Xenopus tropicalis: one gene and its partners. The protein of the gene in region 3 interacts with the protein of the main gene of each other region in a biochemical or structural test. Links are inferred from orthologs where the notes say so. Each region holds a gene or a part of one and is shown on either strand. Other genes may lie near its edges.

The links.
Region 1: the proteins of magi2 (region 3) and rps6ka1 interact in a test that uses a peptide from one of them, tested with the Homo sapiens proteins (2 studies listed by BioGRID and IntAct, with this or other methods). The link is inferred for Xenopus tropicalis from reciprocal best matches to the Homo sapiens genes MAGI2 and RPS6KA1.
Region 2: the proteins of magi2 (region 3) and pten form a complex in vitro, tested with the Homo sapiens proteins (2 studies listed by BioGRID and IntAct, with this or other methods). The link is inferred for Xenopus tropicalis from reciprocal best matches to the Homo sapiens genes MAGI2 and PTEN.
Region 4: the proteins of magi2 (region 3) and crhr1.2 form a complex in vitro, tested with the Homo sapiens proteins (2 studies listed by BioGRID and IntAct, with this or other methods). The link is inferred for Xenopus tropicalis from reciprocal best matches to the Homo sapiens genes MAGI2 and CRHR1.

The regions. Positions count from the first base shown.
Region 1 is NC_030678.2:77,585,378-77,589,400, forward strand, and holds the start of rps6ka1 (ribosomal protein S6 kinase alpha-1), read left to right. Parts: upstream 1-1,209; 5' UTR 1,210-1,488; coding exon of another isoform or gene 1,489-1,537; coding exon 1,538-1,551; intron 1,552-4,023. UniProt on the Homo sapiens protein: Serine/threonine-protein kinase that acts downstream of ERK (MAPK1/ERK2 and MAPK3/ERK1) signaling and mediates mitogenic and stress-induced activation of the transcription factors CREB1, ETV1/ER81 and NR4A1/NUR77, regulates translation through RPS6 and EIF4B phosphorylation, and mediates cellular proliferation, survival, and differentiation by modulating mTOR signaling and repressing pro-apoptotic function of BAD and DAPK1.
Region 2 is NC_030683.2:12,950,756-12,954,323, reverse strand, and holds part of pten (phosphatidylinositol 3,4,5-trisphosphate 3-phosphatase and dual-specificity protein phosphatase PTEN), read left to right. Parts: intron 1-880; coding exon 881-925; intron 926-1,399; coding exon 1,400-1,443; intron 1,444-2,550; coding exon 2,551-2,786; intron 2,787-3,404; coding exon 3,405-3,546; intron 3,547-3,568. UniProt on the Homo sapiens protein: Dual-specificity protein phosphatase, dephosphorylating tyrosine-, serine- and threonine-phosphorylated proteins.
Region 3 is NC_030679.2:78,531,050-78,534,617, forward strand, and holds part of magi2 (membrane-associated guanylate kinase, WW and PDZ domain-containing protein 2), read right to left. Parts: intron 1,012-3,568; coding exon 370-1,011; intron 1-369. UniProt on the Homo sapiens protein: Seems to act as a scaffold molecule at synaptic junctions by assembling neurotransmitter receptors and cell adhesion proteins. Plays a role in nerve growth factor (NGF)-induced recruitment of RAPGEF2 to late endosomes and neurite outgrowth.
Region 4 is NC_030686.2:16,385,330-16,388,897, reverse strand, and holds part of crhr1.2 (corticotropin-releasing factor receptor 1), read right to left. Parts: intron 3,445-3,568; coding exon 3,372-3,444; intron 2,233-3,371; coding exon 2,147-2,232; intron 408-2,146; coding exon 272-407; intron 1-271.

The DNA of each region.
Region 1 (4,023 bases), on a different chromosome or scaffold from region 3:
GGTAAGCTACTACCCCATGGGAGGGGCAAGGAGCCAGGAGTTGTGTGGAGTCCCTGACAAAGGTTACAGTGTAATATCAAGTCCCAGGGTGGGAGTTATAGTCCCACATCACCCCTGGGTGGAGGCATGCCATTAACAGTGAAGACTCCCTGTTACCCCCATAGTAAGTGGGGGCTCACGACTTCTGCGCCAGAAGTAAGCCAAGAGGGCACCAGTAGCAGCACTGCCAGCTAAAGTGGGCTACATATGATTTTGGAAGTCTTCCTTAGGACTCAACGGCACTCTACAGATCCAACCTGGCCAAAAGAAAGTCACGATACCAAAGCTTGAATGAATTCCGAAATGGTTGTAGTCTTTGTGAAAAATATGACTTTTTGTGGAAGTTAACTAAACCCACGAAAAAGTTGTGGAATTTTAACGAAATTATCGTGGGCATTACAAAAATTTTGATTTTTTTTTTTCTCAAAAAAAAAAAAAAAAAGCGTGGTTTAATGAACGGCCCCTAAGGGGCACATTTACTAAGCCACGAACGGGCCGAATGCGTCCAATTGCATTTTTTTCGTAATGATCGGTATTTTGCGATTTTTTCGGAAAAATGTCGCGACTTTTTCGTTACTAATACGATTTGTGCGAAAAAAACGCAAGTTTTTCGTAGCCATTCCGAAAGTTGCGCAAAATCTGGCCATTTTTCGTAGCGTTAAAAGTTGCGCAACTTTTCGCGCAAGCTTTAACGCTACGAAAAAATCGGGCGATTTTGCGCAACTTTCGGAATGGCTACGAAAAACTCGCGTTTTTTCGCGCAAATCGTATTGGTAACGAAAAAGTCGCGACAATTTCCGAAAAGTCGTGAAGACGCTGAAAAAATCGCAAAAAATACGAAAAAGTCGCAAAATGTTCGTTTTCAAGTCGGAATTTTTCCAATTCGGTTCAGATTCGTGTCTTAGTAAATGTACCCCTAAGTGTTGTACAAGATATAAAAGCGATTGTCTCACTCAGAACCGTACTATTCTTACGCCTCATGCCACAAGATGGCGCACTTAGCGAAACGTTGCCCATTCTTTCCCGCTTAAATCTTCGGAGTAGTAAAAGCAAAGATTCACCTGAGGGAATGCGGAATGGGTTAGTACCAGAAACACCGCCTTTTCTGAACAAGGGGCCAATTGACAGCTTAGAAACCGGGAGGAGCCAATAGTAGGCGGGCAGGGCGGCACGTGCCCTTCTGTCAGTGAGTTAGGAGGAGTCAAGCGGTCAGTCTGTCGCCGGACACCGAGTAGTGTAGACTAAGTGCGAGAGGTGCAGGCGTTATAGCGGAAAAAAAGGACCTGGACTACGCAGACCCTACGTATCATAAATAATTGTCGATAGTAACTTAAACAGTGACTGAAAGCTGGAATCTTCGTATTTAATTATTTTGCGTTTCAAGCCGTGCAGGGTGCGCAGCGGTGTCCCTGCTTTACGTTGTGTAGCACCTGAGAGAACGCGTTGAAGATGCCGCTGGCACAACTAGTGGATCTTTGGCCCGAGGTGGAGGTGGTTCATGAGGAGACGGAGGTGAGAACTGTCAGTTGCGGACGAGGTTTCGAAGCTGAAGCAGTCAGAAAATGTTGGAGGGGGGGAGGTAGCAGTGTTTTCTGATTACAACCAATCAAAGCTACTTACGGTTAGAATAGGTCTTTTAGAATAGCATGGGTTCGTGTGTATGTGTTGCTGCCGCATTCTCTTGCGTCTCTTCATAAGAGAAAGACTGTGCGTGTTACCTGATGGCCTTCAGCTCTTTATGGGCTGCCGATATTCGTCACAATTTCAGTCATGCACTTCTTTCAGAGGTGGTGTATATTTACTATTTCTGAGCCCCCCACCGCGGAATTCAATTAGAGGCTGCACATCTTATGTTTCCCTACTGCAGAACTTGTGGTCACAGGTCGCACATCCCTCCTGCTGTTGAAGCCGCTGATCAACAGCCATTGACTGATCTTGGTATATATTTAATGTGGAACTGTATTCTGTAGCAATCCACCTGTTGCTGAATCTGCAGTTCCAGCCGTCCCCCACAGTTCGACTGTAGTTAGCAAGCAGCTGTAGAACGCAGGTTGATGTCCTCCTATACATTGACATTTGTGTTCATTAATTATGTTTTGAGAGATTGAGAGCTTTTATTTCAATAACTATATTGCAATAAATCCCTTTTTAATACAATATTCATTTTGTAAGATCTTGTGTGCCTTAGAACACAGTGTGACTTGAACATGAACTAAATTTCCTTAATGCTTCAAAAAAAAAAAAAAAAAAAAAAAAAAGATCCCAACTGAATTAAAGATTAGCACATCTAAAATATTTGGAATGCAGGTTCGGGTATTGAACCTGTTATCAAGAATGCTGGGGACCTGGGGCATTCCGGATAAGGGATCTTTCTGTAATTTGGATCTCCATACCTTAAGTCTACTAAAGGTGGCCATACACGAGCAGATCCGCTCGCTTGGCGATGTCGCCAAGCGAGCGGATCTTCCCCCAATATCCCCACCTACGGGTGGGCGATATCGGGGAGCCTTTAGGTAAAAAAAAAAATAATCCGATCGTTTGGCCCTGGGGCCAAACGATCGGATTATGTGGGCGGCAATGGGGCAGTCGGATCGGGGACCGCATCAACGAGCCGATGTGGTCCCCGATCCGACCGGATTTTCTAACCTGCCCGATCGAGATCTGGCCAATTTCAGGCCAGATATCGGTCGGCCAGGCTGCTCGGCTCTCCCCATACACGGGCCGATTAGCTGCCGAATCGGTCCAAGGGACCGATATCGGCAGCTATAGTTGGCCCGTGTATGGGGACCTTAAGAAATAATTTAAACGTCATTAAAACCCAATAGGATTGTTTTGCCTCCAGTAAGTATTACCGTAATTATATCTTAGTTGAGATCAAGTACAAGGTACTGTTTTATAATTACAGAGAAAAAGGAAATTGTTTTTAAAAATTAGAATTATTTGCTTATAATGGAGTCTATGGGAGATGTCCTTTCCGTAATTTGGAACTTTCTGGATAACGGGTTTCCGGAAAAGGGATCCTACACCTTTATATACTATTTCAATAGTTGAGCTTGTTCAGTTAAGAAAGTACTTAAATGTAGAAGCACTATCTAGGCAACTCGCTAGCCATTCCCTTTTATAAATATATATTTGGTGTATATGCTGAAGTGGATTCTTTCCACTAGACCACAATAATTAAAACACCCCACATTATATTACACTTTCTTTATTAAAGCAAAGGGCAGAGAGTAAATTTTAACATTTCAGGGTGCTGTGTGTTGATTTTGCTGGTGCAGAACTAGAAGGTATTGCATTGCTAACGGCAGTGGTGCACAAAGGTTTACACTATACACTGGTTAAATGAAATCAAGGGGGAGGATTAGCTAAACATGGAAAAAAAGATATCGCTCCGCAGGCGCACCCAGTTCAGCATGATAAAGAAAGTATGTCTCCTAGCTATAAAAAGAACAAACTATGAACCACGCACACATTACAAAAAAGCAAATTGCCATTAATACCTATCTGCTTTAATAGCTTTGACTGTCAGAGAAAATTAATGCATCTCAAATACTGTTTGTGTTTGTGGTGTTTTGTGTGCAATCAGCAATTAGATTTCAACAGTCCACTACTGTTAGAAAGAGACATGATTGGTTGCAGTTGGCAACTGCACTTTAGTTCTTATGTTTGAGGCACTGCGTGTATAAACATTTCCTGATTACTGACAGTCAAAATTAAAACACTTCTTCCTTCAGTTAGGTCACCTGAAGGGGAAAAAGGTTTACCTCATATTATACTTCTGCATAATTTCTAAGGGTGTCAAAATTAAGAGCAATACTAAAAACCAGGTTTACTTCATTATGGATGTATATACGTAGCATAGCACCCTGTTCACCAACTTTGTTGTTCCATGATTTAAGGTGGCCATACACGTGGCGATCTGACGATGTTTCGTACGACCATCGGTCGCACGAAACATCGTAAGATCCGCCACACACCATTCAG
Region 2 (3,568 bases), on a different chromosome or scaffold from region 3:
GTAATGCACAATTGTCGGTCATGTTACAAGTGATACCGCTAAGCAGTGTAAATTATAAGAATATTAGTCACTGAGGGGTTCTGTGCCCCCCATATAAAGGCACAAGGCTGCAGGCTGAGTTATACAGGGAACTCTGAGTATCACTCATGTATTATAAGGGATAATGTACCCCCTACTGTAAATGATAAGGATATTAGCAGTCACTGAGGGGTTCTGTGCCCATATAAAGGCACAAGGCTGCAGGCTGAGTTATACAGGGAACTCTGAGTATCACTCATGTATTATAAGGGATAATGTACCCCCTACTGTAAATGATAAGGATATTAGCAGTCACTGAGAGGTTATGTGACCATATAAAGGAACAAGGCTGTAACGCCATTATATTATTTCTTTACTTTTAGTATTTGCAGTTGGACCCACAGGGTCCTGTATAGACTGTTTGACATAGCGCTGAATCTACGTCTGATGCAGTTGCAGTCCTTGGCTTATACTCTGCCTGGCCAATTTAATGTTTAAATGAGGGTAATTGGGTATCAATTGTGGCATTTATTTTTGTCCATATACAGGCAATGTACTAGGTGAAGTTCCCTGTGCATGACTAGTTTAGCTCTCATTCCATATAGATGAACTGTTGATTTCCCTGTCATTAACTGTTTCCCTTTGACATTAACTGTTTGATAACTCCACCAAATGCAGCTTCACCTTTTGGTGCTTCACTCCGGTCCAGCTTCCCAGCGCCAGTATTTTAACTGATTTGTGTTCATTAGAATGGGTAGAATAGTTGACAGAAATAGACTTTCTCTGTTTTATTCTGCGTGTACTTGTGAATCGCACCTTGAATACATTCAAGATTCTAATTCTTTTTTTTTCCCTCTGCCAGGTTTCTGGATTCAAAGCATAAAAATCATTACAAGATCTACAACTTGTAAGTATTCTGTGTTTATTATGGATAAAACAATAAAAAAAACCTTAGCAAAAGAAAGTATAGTGCTTTTCATGTCTGCAGAGCAAGAGAACAAGGTATTGTCTTACACACTTGTGTGCCTGAAACAATTAGTTTGAGGGCTCTAATGGAGAGTTCTCTTAGCTCTGTTGTGCTAGTGGAGTGATGAGGTTAAATGGAATTTTGGAAGGCTGCCATGTTACTTGATCTCCTTTTAAATGGCTTGGAATGGGGCCCATGCTATGGCCTGTTACTGTGCACTGAATAGAAATAGAAGGTACAGATAATGTAATTGACTTGCAGACTCTTGGAGAAAGCTCACACAAAATCACAGGTGGATTGAAGTTGCTGAAATTAATGTAAATGCAATATATATATATAATGTGTGTGTATATATTGTTGCAGGGTATTGCAGTATCTATTGCTTCTCTAACTTCAGTTCTTTTGCCTTTGCAGATGTGCGGAGAGACATTATGATACCAACAAATTTAGCTGCAGAGGTGAGTTCAGACCTCGGTTATAAGCGTTCACGCTGAAATATATATTTCGGTAACCATGTGTGAGTTGACGATTGACTGATATGTTTTGGAAGAGATCTTGACACTTGAGTTCCTGCTTGCAGCTCTCTTCTGCAGCTTGATGGGGTGAATTATGGGGCAGAACATTCCCCTGTGGACATTCTGGCTTTTCATAGGCCGAAGGAATTGCAGGAATCACATCAGTGCCTCTCTTAAAGAGGAAAAGATCTAACCGCCTTTTGTCACAAGCTCATTCAGTTGGGCTTCTGTGAAAATAGGTGTATAAACACTATGTGACCTGCTAAAAATAAATACTAGTACTTGGTTCCTCAGATTGATAGGCAGCCATTTATTATAATGCTCCAATTTGAAAATATAACTAAACAGTTTTGGGTTAGAAGCTGCATTTTGGGGGCAGCATCAGGTTTGCTGCCTTAGGCGGCAGTAGCCCCAGGATTGCCGCTGACTGGGGAGTCGATCATTTTGCTTTCCTGCTGTTGAGAACTGATACTTCCAGCAGCAGCTTTTAAAAACATTTGAGAGCTGGAATTTGTAGGTCGTGTGAACTAAAAGACTTTAGACACCCAGGCATTGGTAAGCACACTGGCTGTAGGGGATGTGAATGGGCAACTTTGGGCAAATCTACTAATTATGTCAGGGATATAGGGTTGCCATCTGGCCAGTATTTTACCAGCCTAGCCAGTCAATCACCTCCTGGAACCTCTATTACAAATCACAAATTTAATCTTTAAGATGAAGGGGACACTGGCTTTAATGCTTGCAGTCTGTCTATTTAGCCATTATGTGTAAAAGTGATTGGATGCAGGAATACTTCCATAACCTTCCTGTTGTGTTAGAACCCACTTTCAGAGTTGGAGTGGGACCTGCGGGTGCATATGGTTGCGCCTACTAAAATAATGCATATTAATATAAGAGGGGGCATTTGAGACCCCATATTTGTGACCTTCAGACCTTCACTTGGGATATAGGAATATATGGCTAAGTTTCCCCAGCTCCTTTTACAGTCATCCTTTACTTGAAGAATTTTATAAATGTATAAAATGAATTTGCCATGTCTTTAATCCACAGTTGCACAGTATCCGTTTGAAGACCACAACCCACCACAGCTAGAGCTAATCAAACCTTTCTGTGAAGATCTTGACCAGTGGTTAAGTGAAAATGAGAACGTAGCAGCTATACATTGTAAAGCCGGCAAGGGCCGGACGGGGGTTATGATTTGTGCCTATTTGCTACACAGAGGCAAATTTCCTAGAGCACAAGAAGCCCTAGATTTTTATGGAGAAGTGCGGACCAGAGATAAAAAGGTACGTCTGAAGGGTTAATGTCTTGTTACCTAATCTAGAAACACTTTCGTCGTCTGTTTGCTTTAATCCTAAAAACTGCCCGAATGTCATGTCTGAGCCGTATGCACGGTGTCATTCCATGAGTAGATTAAATATTGCTACAAGCCTTTCACCAGCTTGCCTGTCCAGTTAATGTTTTATTTCCTAATGGGGAACTTTAACCTCTGGCACAAACTGACTTATTGGCCGAAGCATTGGCTGCAGAGCTGCTTTTTAAATGGAGGTGATACATGTTAAGCTAAAATGATGGCCACATTGAGCTGTACTGTGGTAAATATTAGTCCCTTATATAAAGATCTCTTAAAGCAACAGTCCAGATAACTATTTCATATGACTGAAAATCCTATTGGCCAAAGGCAGCATCCAATTGCTTAGTCCTTGTCCAATGGGTTTTTGATGTCATCCATGGCCTCCTGTCCAACAATCGGATCAGCCTGATTCGACCCAGTACGTAGGTGGCCATATCGGCCGCTCTTTAATGACCTTGCCATATGAGCAAATCGCAAAATGTATGACCAGCTTTAACCATTTAATGCCGAGCTCAGACATTCCAAGCTCACCTTATCTTTCTCTTTCTAGGGAGTTACAATTCCCAGCCAAAGGCGCTATGTATATTACTATAGCTACTTGTTAAAAAATAACCTGGAATACAGACCGGTGCCCCTGCTCTTTCACAAGATTGAATTTGAAACTATTCCAATGTTCAGTGGCTCAACATGCAGTAAGTATCATTCCATTTTTCT
Region 3 (3,568 bases):
TACTCTGAATATGACTTTTTAAGGTTATGTAATAAAAGAAAAAAAGTTTGCCCAGGAGCAGTAATCCTTAGCAATCAATCAGCAGGAAGCATTTACTGGTCATCTGCTTAAAAGCAAATAGGTTATTGGTTGCTATGGCTTACTGCTCCTGGGCATCTATCTCTCAGCTGCATGGGAAACAAATACTGGAAGAGTAAATCATTCTGTGGGGCAATATATCTAGATTTCTTTATAACATACAGTGAAACCTATTTTTAAATCAATACAAGTAGCAGTAATAGCTCTCAGTGTGACACAGGCTGCTTATCCCTTTCTTAAAAAGAGTAAAACCTGCAGTTCTCTGTAGGAATAAAACAATCATTTACTTACCTCCTCTCTGGATCACCAAAGAAGTCTCATTTCCAACAGGACATTCTTTAAGTAACTCCACAACTTCTAAGTGGTTCAAATTCTGTACATTCTGCTGGTTGATCTCAACTATAAGGTCCCCTTCAAACAAACCAGGGCATCCCTGAACATCTAAAATCTGCTTCACTCGCTGTCCTGTTGGACTGTCTGCTATTGTGAAGCCAAAGCCCTGTGCCCCTTTCACAATGGTTAAGGTCATAAGTTCTGCTTGTGTGGCTCCAGAAGAAGCCATTGATACATTATCATCATGTGTAGGTGGAGGCGGTGGAAATGTATTTTCAAGCGGACTGTCTGTTGGAACAGAGTGCAAAGAAGGCAATGGTCGTTCTGCTACATCTGGTACTGATTGTGACGTCCTAGAAATGTATTCCAAATAAGTTTCATAGTTATTTCTTCCATTTACAACCACTGGCGGCCTTTCAATGACTGCTAAAGGTGATACCAAGTTGTTTGCAGAATCTTCTGGGTCGTAGGGTAGGGGATATCCTCGACATAGCACCAAGTTGACACTTTGCCCAATGGGAACAGACTGGAAAATTTTGACCACATCCGCATGTGTGTACCCAAGCACACACGCTTCATTTATATAGACAATTACATCACCTACGACAAAAATGAAACAATTACATTAACACAAATGTTATTGATATATAGTGACACAGCTAAATATTTTATGAGATTCATTATTTATGTGAAAACTAAGCTATGTAAGAGTGTCTCATAAATGAAATCTAAACCCCAAAAATAAACTGATGTAAACTTTTCTAAGCACTTTTGCAACTTACATGCACTCTGAATAACTTTATAGCAATTAAACCCTTCATGAGAACATTTATAACAATATGACACCTCATGTGTAGTTTGTTCATGGTGAAATCAGTGGCGTAACTAGCAGGGGAAGCCTGGTATGGGATCTATTACCTGGAATGCTCCTGTGCTGGGGGTTTCCAGATAAGGAGTCTTTCCATAATTTGGAGCAACATTCTTTAGGTCTACTGAAAATATTTAATATTAATAACTGATAGGATTGTTTTGCAACAATAAGAATAGTATGCTTAAACTGCATTCCTATCTCAAAGCTATCTGGAAAATAGGTTTTCAGGTAATTGATCCCATAACTGAACCCAATAGCTTAAATTATCATGCAATAAATATTTCAAGGGCTGGCAATGTCAAAATCGGCTAAAATATGCAAATGCAACTTTCAAATCATGATTACCAAAACAAATGATCTCCTCCTGAGGAAGCCATTACTAAGAATTTAATTTGGTCATATTAAGCAATTAAATTCTGAGATATGAAAATATGCCTTGGGGTGCCCAATAAGAGCCGCAATACAATGTTCACAAGCTGAATAAATCTACAACCAAAGCACTGCAGTGTGCTTGAACCAAATCCAACAAATGGAACTGTTAGGCAAAGTTGCATACCTCCCAACATTTGAAAAATGGAAAGAGGGACAAAAAGAAATGTTGCGTGTAATGCAGCAAATTTTTTTTTACCTCGCCCCCTAAATACCACTCCCATTTTACTAAATTTATTTAAACTTTAAGCACATTTCTGGGGGTTTTGGGGTCATTTCATGTGTTATTACAGTTTTGCTAATGAAGGTGAAATTGCCCTTTAAGCTGCAAGTCTTAGTTCCCCCAAGAGACCTGTTTAGCTTATTAGTTACAATTGTTTCTAAGTGCAGGTGTAGCTTGTTAACTTTCTGGGCTCTCTGCCAAAAGCTACTTATTTAATTAAGCCTGAGAAACAATGTAACCGAAAATATGCGCAATGCACTCCTACCTGTGCCTGCACTGGAGTGAATGGAATACAATCGGGTGCAGGCACATGTAGCCGAAATACGCATAAAAAAACAAGACTTTGCATTCTCTCACCTTTTTATGCAGATATTGGCTACATGTGCCTGCGCCCGAGCGTATTCCATTCATTTGGGTGCAGGCACAGGTAGGAGGTGTATGGCTGTATTTTCGGCAAGCGATTTTCGGCTTGCCGAGAATATACGCCATACGCTGAGTGTGGCATCAGCCAGAGTGCAGGTATAGCTTGTTAAGATTTCTGAGCTCTCTGCCAAAAGCTACTTTTTAACTGAGTTTGTATCATTTAGGGTTCAGTGCAGGAGATCAAAGAGAAGTGAGGGACTTTTTCAGTAAGAATCCGGGACTATGGGTTGAGCTGTTAAAAGAGGGACTGACTAACGAAAATCGGGACACTTGGGAGGTATGAATAAACCCATGCAGCCATCCTCAAAATTATGGGGGTCAACCTAATTTTTCTGTTTGGTCAGCCAAAACAATTATTTCTGGACCCCACACATGGACCAATTATAACATATTTTGGTCAGCATTGACTCACAATCCTGTTTTTAAAAATCCTGGTGTATTTTTTTTATTTTGCTAAACTAAATCTTTTTGCCAACTAAACCCTGGCAAGGTTTTTATCTGTAGCTAAAACATGCTTAGGTAATGCAAAGCAGGATTGTGGTAAAAACACTGACTCACAATTTATGTTATTAATTTACATTATGACAATCTTAGAAGCATCATAAATCAGCCCCTTAATATTTTAGCTTGAAAATATGAACTTAAAAAGAGATGCTGACACCAGAATATAAACCTTTTTCACCTCATAACACTGTCTTTGCACGCTATTTAAAATTTTGCCTTGAAAGTATTTGTCCAATGCTTTTTACATGTTACTTATCTGATCCCCCATGTTCCTCTATTAGGGGGCTGCCATATTTGTGCAACAGGAGTGTGTTAGCATTAGAAGCTCTAACTGACAGGCTGAGAAGGGACAGTCAGGCTGGCAAAACAGGATTAGTAACAATTACTTACTTAGCAGAGCTATTAACAAAAAAAATGATCAAAATGACCATAACTAGATGTAGTTTTTTTTTTAGCATCGGTATCACTTTAAAAAAAAAAAAAAAGTGCACCGGTGTATGGTGTGCATAGAGGATGGACACATGATCTTGTGCCATAGACTTCACTGCCTTTGTATGGCATAATAGATTAAATTAGTCTGAATTACAATTCATAAGGTTATTTTCAAGTGATATAGATCACAGCACAAGCTGAAGTACAAAACAGCAGTTCTCCAGCTTTAGTGTATATTTATGTGAAAGCACAACACCATATAATTCTGTTTCAGA
Region 4 (3,568 bases), on a different chromosome or scaffold from region 3:
AATGGGACCTAAACATTCCCACTAAATGGCACCTATGCAGTTTGTACCTATGTACCCAACTCTAGATACAATAGAGGTGCAAGAGGGTTCTCCAATGAGAATAATCCCTACTAAAGCCCAATTAGTCTTCTCCTTGTTATCCAACATAAAACACCCATGCTCATATTTACAGCTGGGTGGCTTCATGGCAGCAGCTTGAATATATGGGAATGACTGCCACCCAGGGTCCCACCCAAATCCTAACTTATGTCTGTCCCCAGACTCCACTCACCTGAAAGGACTGCAGGAAAGAGTTGAAGTAGATAAAGACTACACGTGAAATTTCATCCTCCCCAGGCGTCACAAAGAAAAGCATGTAGGTGATCCCAAGCAAAGGCAGGAGCACCAGGGTGGCTTTAACTGCTTTCCTAAAAGATTGCAAACAAGAATATTACATGAACCCTTTCATTTATATGTAGGCATTTAATTGCATGTATGGCACTGGGAGGTCAGCATGTGTCTACAGTAGCAAATGTGTGTAAGGCTTTCCATAGGATGTTTTGAATAAAATATTTTATTCTATTTTAAAATATTGCTCTGAGTGCCTGCCCTTGACCTGGGCCAAGGGGCTGTGGCACCAAGGCAAGAGTAGAAATCTGCCTACCTACCAATAGTAGAACCACACCTGTCAGGAACAGTAAGTTGTGAACACAGACCAGCTTACATGGTAGCGGGTGAGAAATAGTGTGAGCATACTGAAATAAACATACAGTTTCCTCTGCCCAAGTTAAAGCCCTGGGAAGGGACAAAGTCAGGGGAAACCTAACTTTCTTAAACAGTAGATGGTACTCCAGTCCACCCAAACCCTACCCACCATTGAGAAAGACACAGCCACTTTGGGGTCTGCTTGCCAAAACTGTCCTAGCAAATTCAGGGTAAATGGCACCTATGTAGTTTAAGGATCGCCAGCAAAGCCGCACCACTTCTACCCAGTAAACCAGCGCTCAGTCTGGAGGGTTGGCACCCTCTCAAATAGATATGGAATCAATATCTGGCACAACAGGGTATCTTCAAGCAAGACAAGAACCTGTGAGTTTGTATGCCGCTCATCATACAGACAGGGAGCTTTCTCCGCTTGCAGATGCCCCGTTGTGCCAGGTACGCAGTTTGCTGGGAGGAAGAAAATGTTCAGAATGTTCAAAAATTTTCAAGAATAAATAAAATAACAGCACAAATATCCCTTTTTCCTATAAGGCCATTGTTTAGTACTTTATTTTCTGCTAAAAATATGGTAGAATTGGAAAAATCGGTTGCCTGCTTAGAGTGCACTGTTGGCTTTCAGGCTGATTGCACAACAATTCAGTTCCTTATACAATGGCGCATGATGGCAGCTCTGTCAAAGTGCTTTGAGCAACATTTTCCAAAGAGAACGAGTACATAAGCGTTATTATTCTCCCATCCATCTAATTGTAGCTACAGTATGCTAAAATCTGTCTTTTCACCTTGAAAAAATAGCACAAAATTAGAATTAAGGGGACCTGCAAAATAAACTTTACTTTAATAGAATGGATGTTTAAATTAAAGAAAGAATTTGGATGTTATGTTTAATTTGCAAAAGACTTTCGTGTGTGGGTGAATATAATGAGATGGGACTTGGTCTCCTAGGTGGTCCTAGACTACAGGTGCTGTTCTGTTGCTGGGAAGAATTCCTTCGTGGAGGTATGTATGCTTTACACACAATAAGTCTTACATGAACCTACACATAAAATGACATTTCTACACAGTACACAGATGTACTCAGATACAGTATTTTCCTCTCTAGTTTATGGGAATGGGAAAGCTGGTGGCACTATTATATATATAGGCTGGTATAGCATATGGGTGCTTTGGCGGCTCCTTGAGACAGAAAGGGACATGTCCTTCAGTTACAGCGCTTTTTAATTTAACACAATGAAAGCATGTGAAGAAGGAGATTACATACGGTGGGTAAGGATAAGGGACACGTTCAAGGGAGTGATGGCAGAAATTGGGATGAGAACCAAGAAACATCTTAAGAAGAAAGGAGGCAAATCAGGGTGACAGCAATGAGAGCCAAAGGACAAATGCGGAGAAGGGAATGTGCATGGAGTGAGAGCAAATGGTGATGGGATACCTGCCACTTCCCTACCTGTACTGTATGGTCTCTGAAGTGGTGGAAGCTCGGAGCTTTGTCATCAGAATCCGCACTATGTTGAATAAAAATATAAAGTTGATCTGAAAGCAAAGGGAATAAATCAGTAAGATATTTAACTATGACCTATGTAAGCACAAACATGATGCAGTGATAAAGGTTTCTCACCTTCTGGTCTTTGGGCATTTGTCGGGCCCTGATAACAACGTAACTTACGGGGTTCCTAAAGTCTAGAAAGAGGGGGCTCAACCCAGGCAGTCTGGAAACGTTTGCTCCAAACACAAATGCTTATAATCTTGAAAAACTGGCAATAATATAAATAGATAAGAAATGTTCCCCTGATCTAACACTAAGACAAATTGGCATTGACAAGACTTTCCTCTTGTATGCAGATTATCTTGATCGCTTTCTGAGCAAAAATTGTCTCCATTCATCTACCTTACTCACTGATCCTTGTGTGTGGCTGATTTGCCCAAATCCCTGGTCTGCCATATCATAACGTCATAAATCAATTGTAAAATCCTGTTATGTACCTGCAAATTACATTACAGCTCCTGCTTACATTTAATTATTCTTTAATGAAAACTTGGACCCCAACAAGTCAATCTGAAGGGGAGCTTAAACCCAGTTTTAAGAAAGCCTGTTAAATGTATGATTACAGTACAGTGACAGCTTTACATTTGTCAGAGGATACATGAACTTTAATGCAGGAAAAGTCAACTGAATTTAGACTTGGATATATTGACTTAAGTTTTAAGTTATATTTTACATTTTAGTATCCCTTTATCTTCCAGACTAATTCTAATTAAGCACACCTACAGACTAGCCAATCACAAGTGTGAATGCTTCCTTATAGGCAATCAATAAGCCAGACAGATTGAATTCCCTTTGCTTCTGAATCTCCTGCTTGTTTTTTGTTGTCTAGATCCACTGACAAGGACTGGAGACTCTTGCTTCCCACCATGTTGTTTTAGCTAACAAAGGAAGAAGTAGTTAGAAGTAGAAGTTGGCAAGAAGATATGATATCACCAGCAAGGGAGTGTTCCAGAAAAATGACCTACCAACATATAGAGGCATACATTTTGCTGCTGATGATTATTATTTAGAATGCCACCTTGTTTCTTTCTCCTTTTTAATAAAGCAGTATGGGCACCCACTTACCCTACATACCCAAGAGCACAAACCCACACAATAGCCAGCGCTAGTTGAAGCATGTTCTTACCAGCAGTACAAGGATAACCGGTCCCTGGTAGATAAAATCTGTGTAGACTCCTGCTTTCTTACCAAACCAGCACCTAGGCAAGATAAACACATGTTACTTTTGGCGTCTTTCCTATGGCTTTCCCACTTCTTCCTTACATCCTTTATTACGTTCTTATCTCTTTTGAGTTTCTTTCCTTCTTTCTTACTATCCTTCCC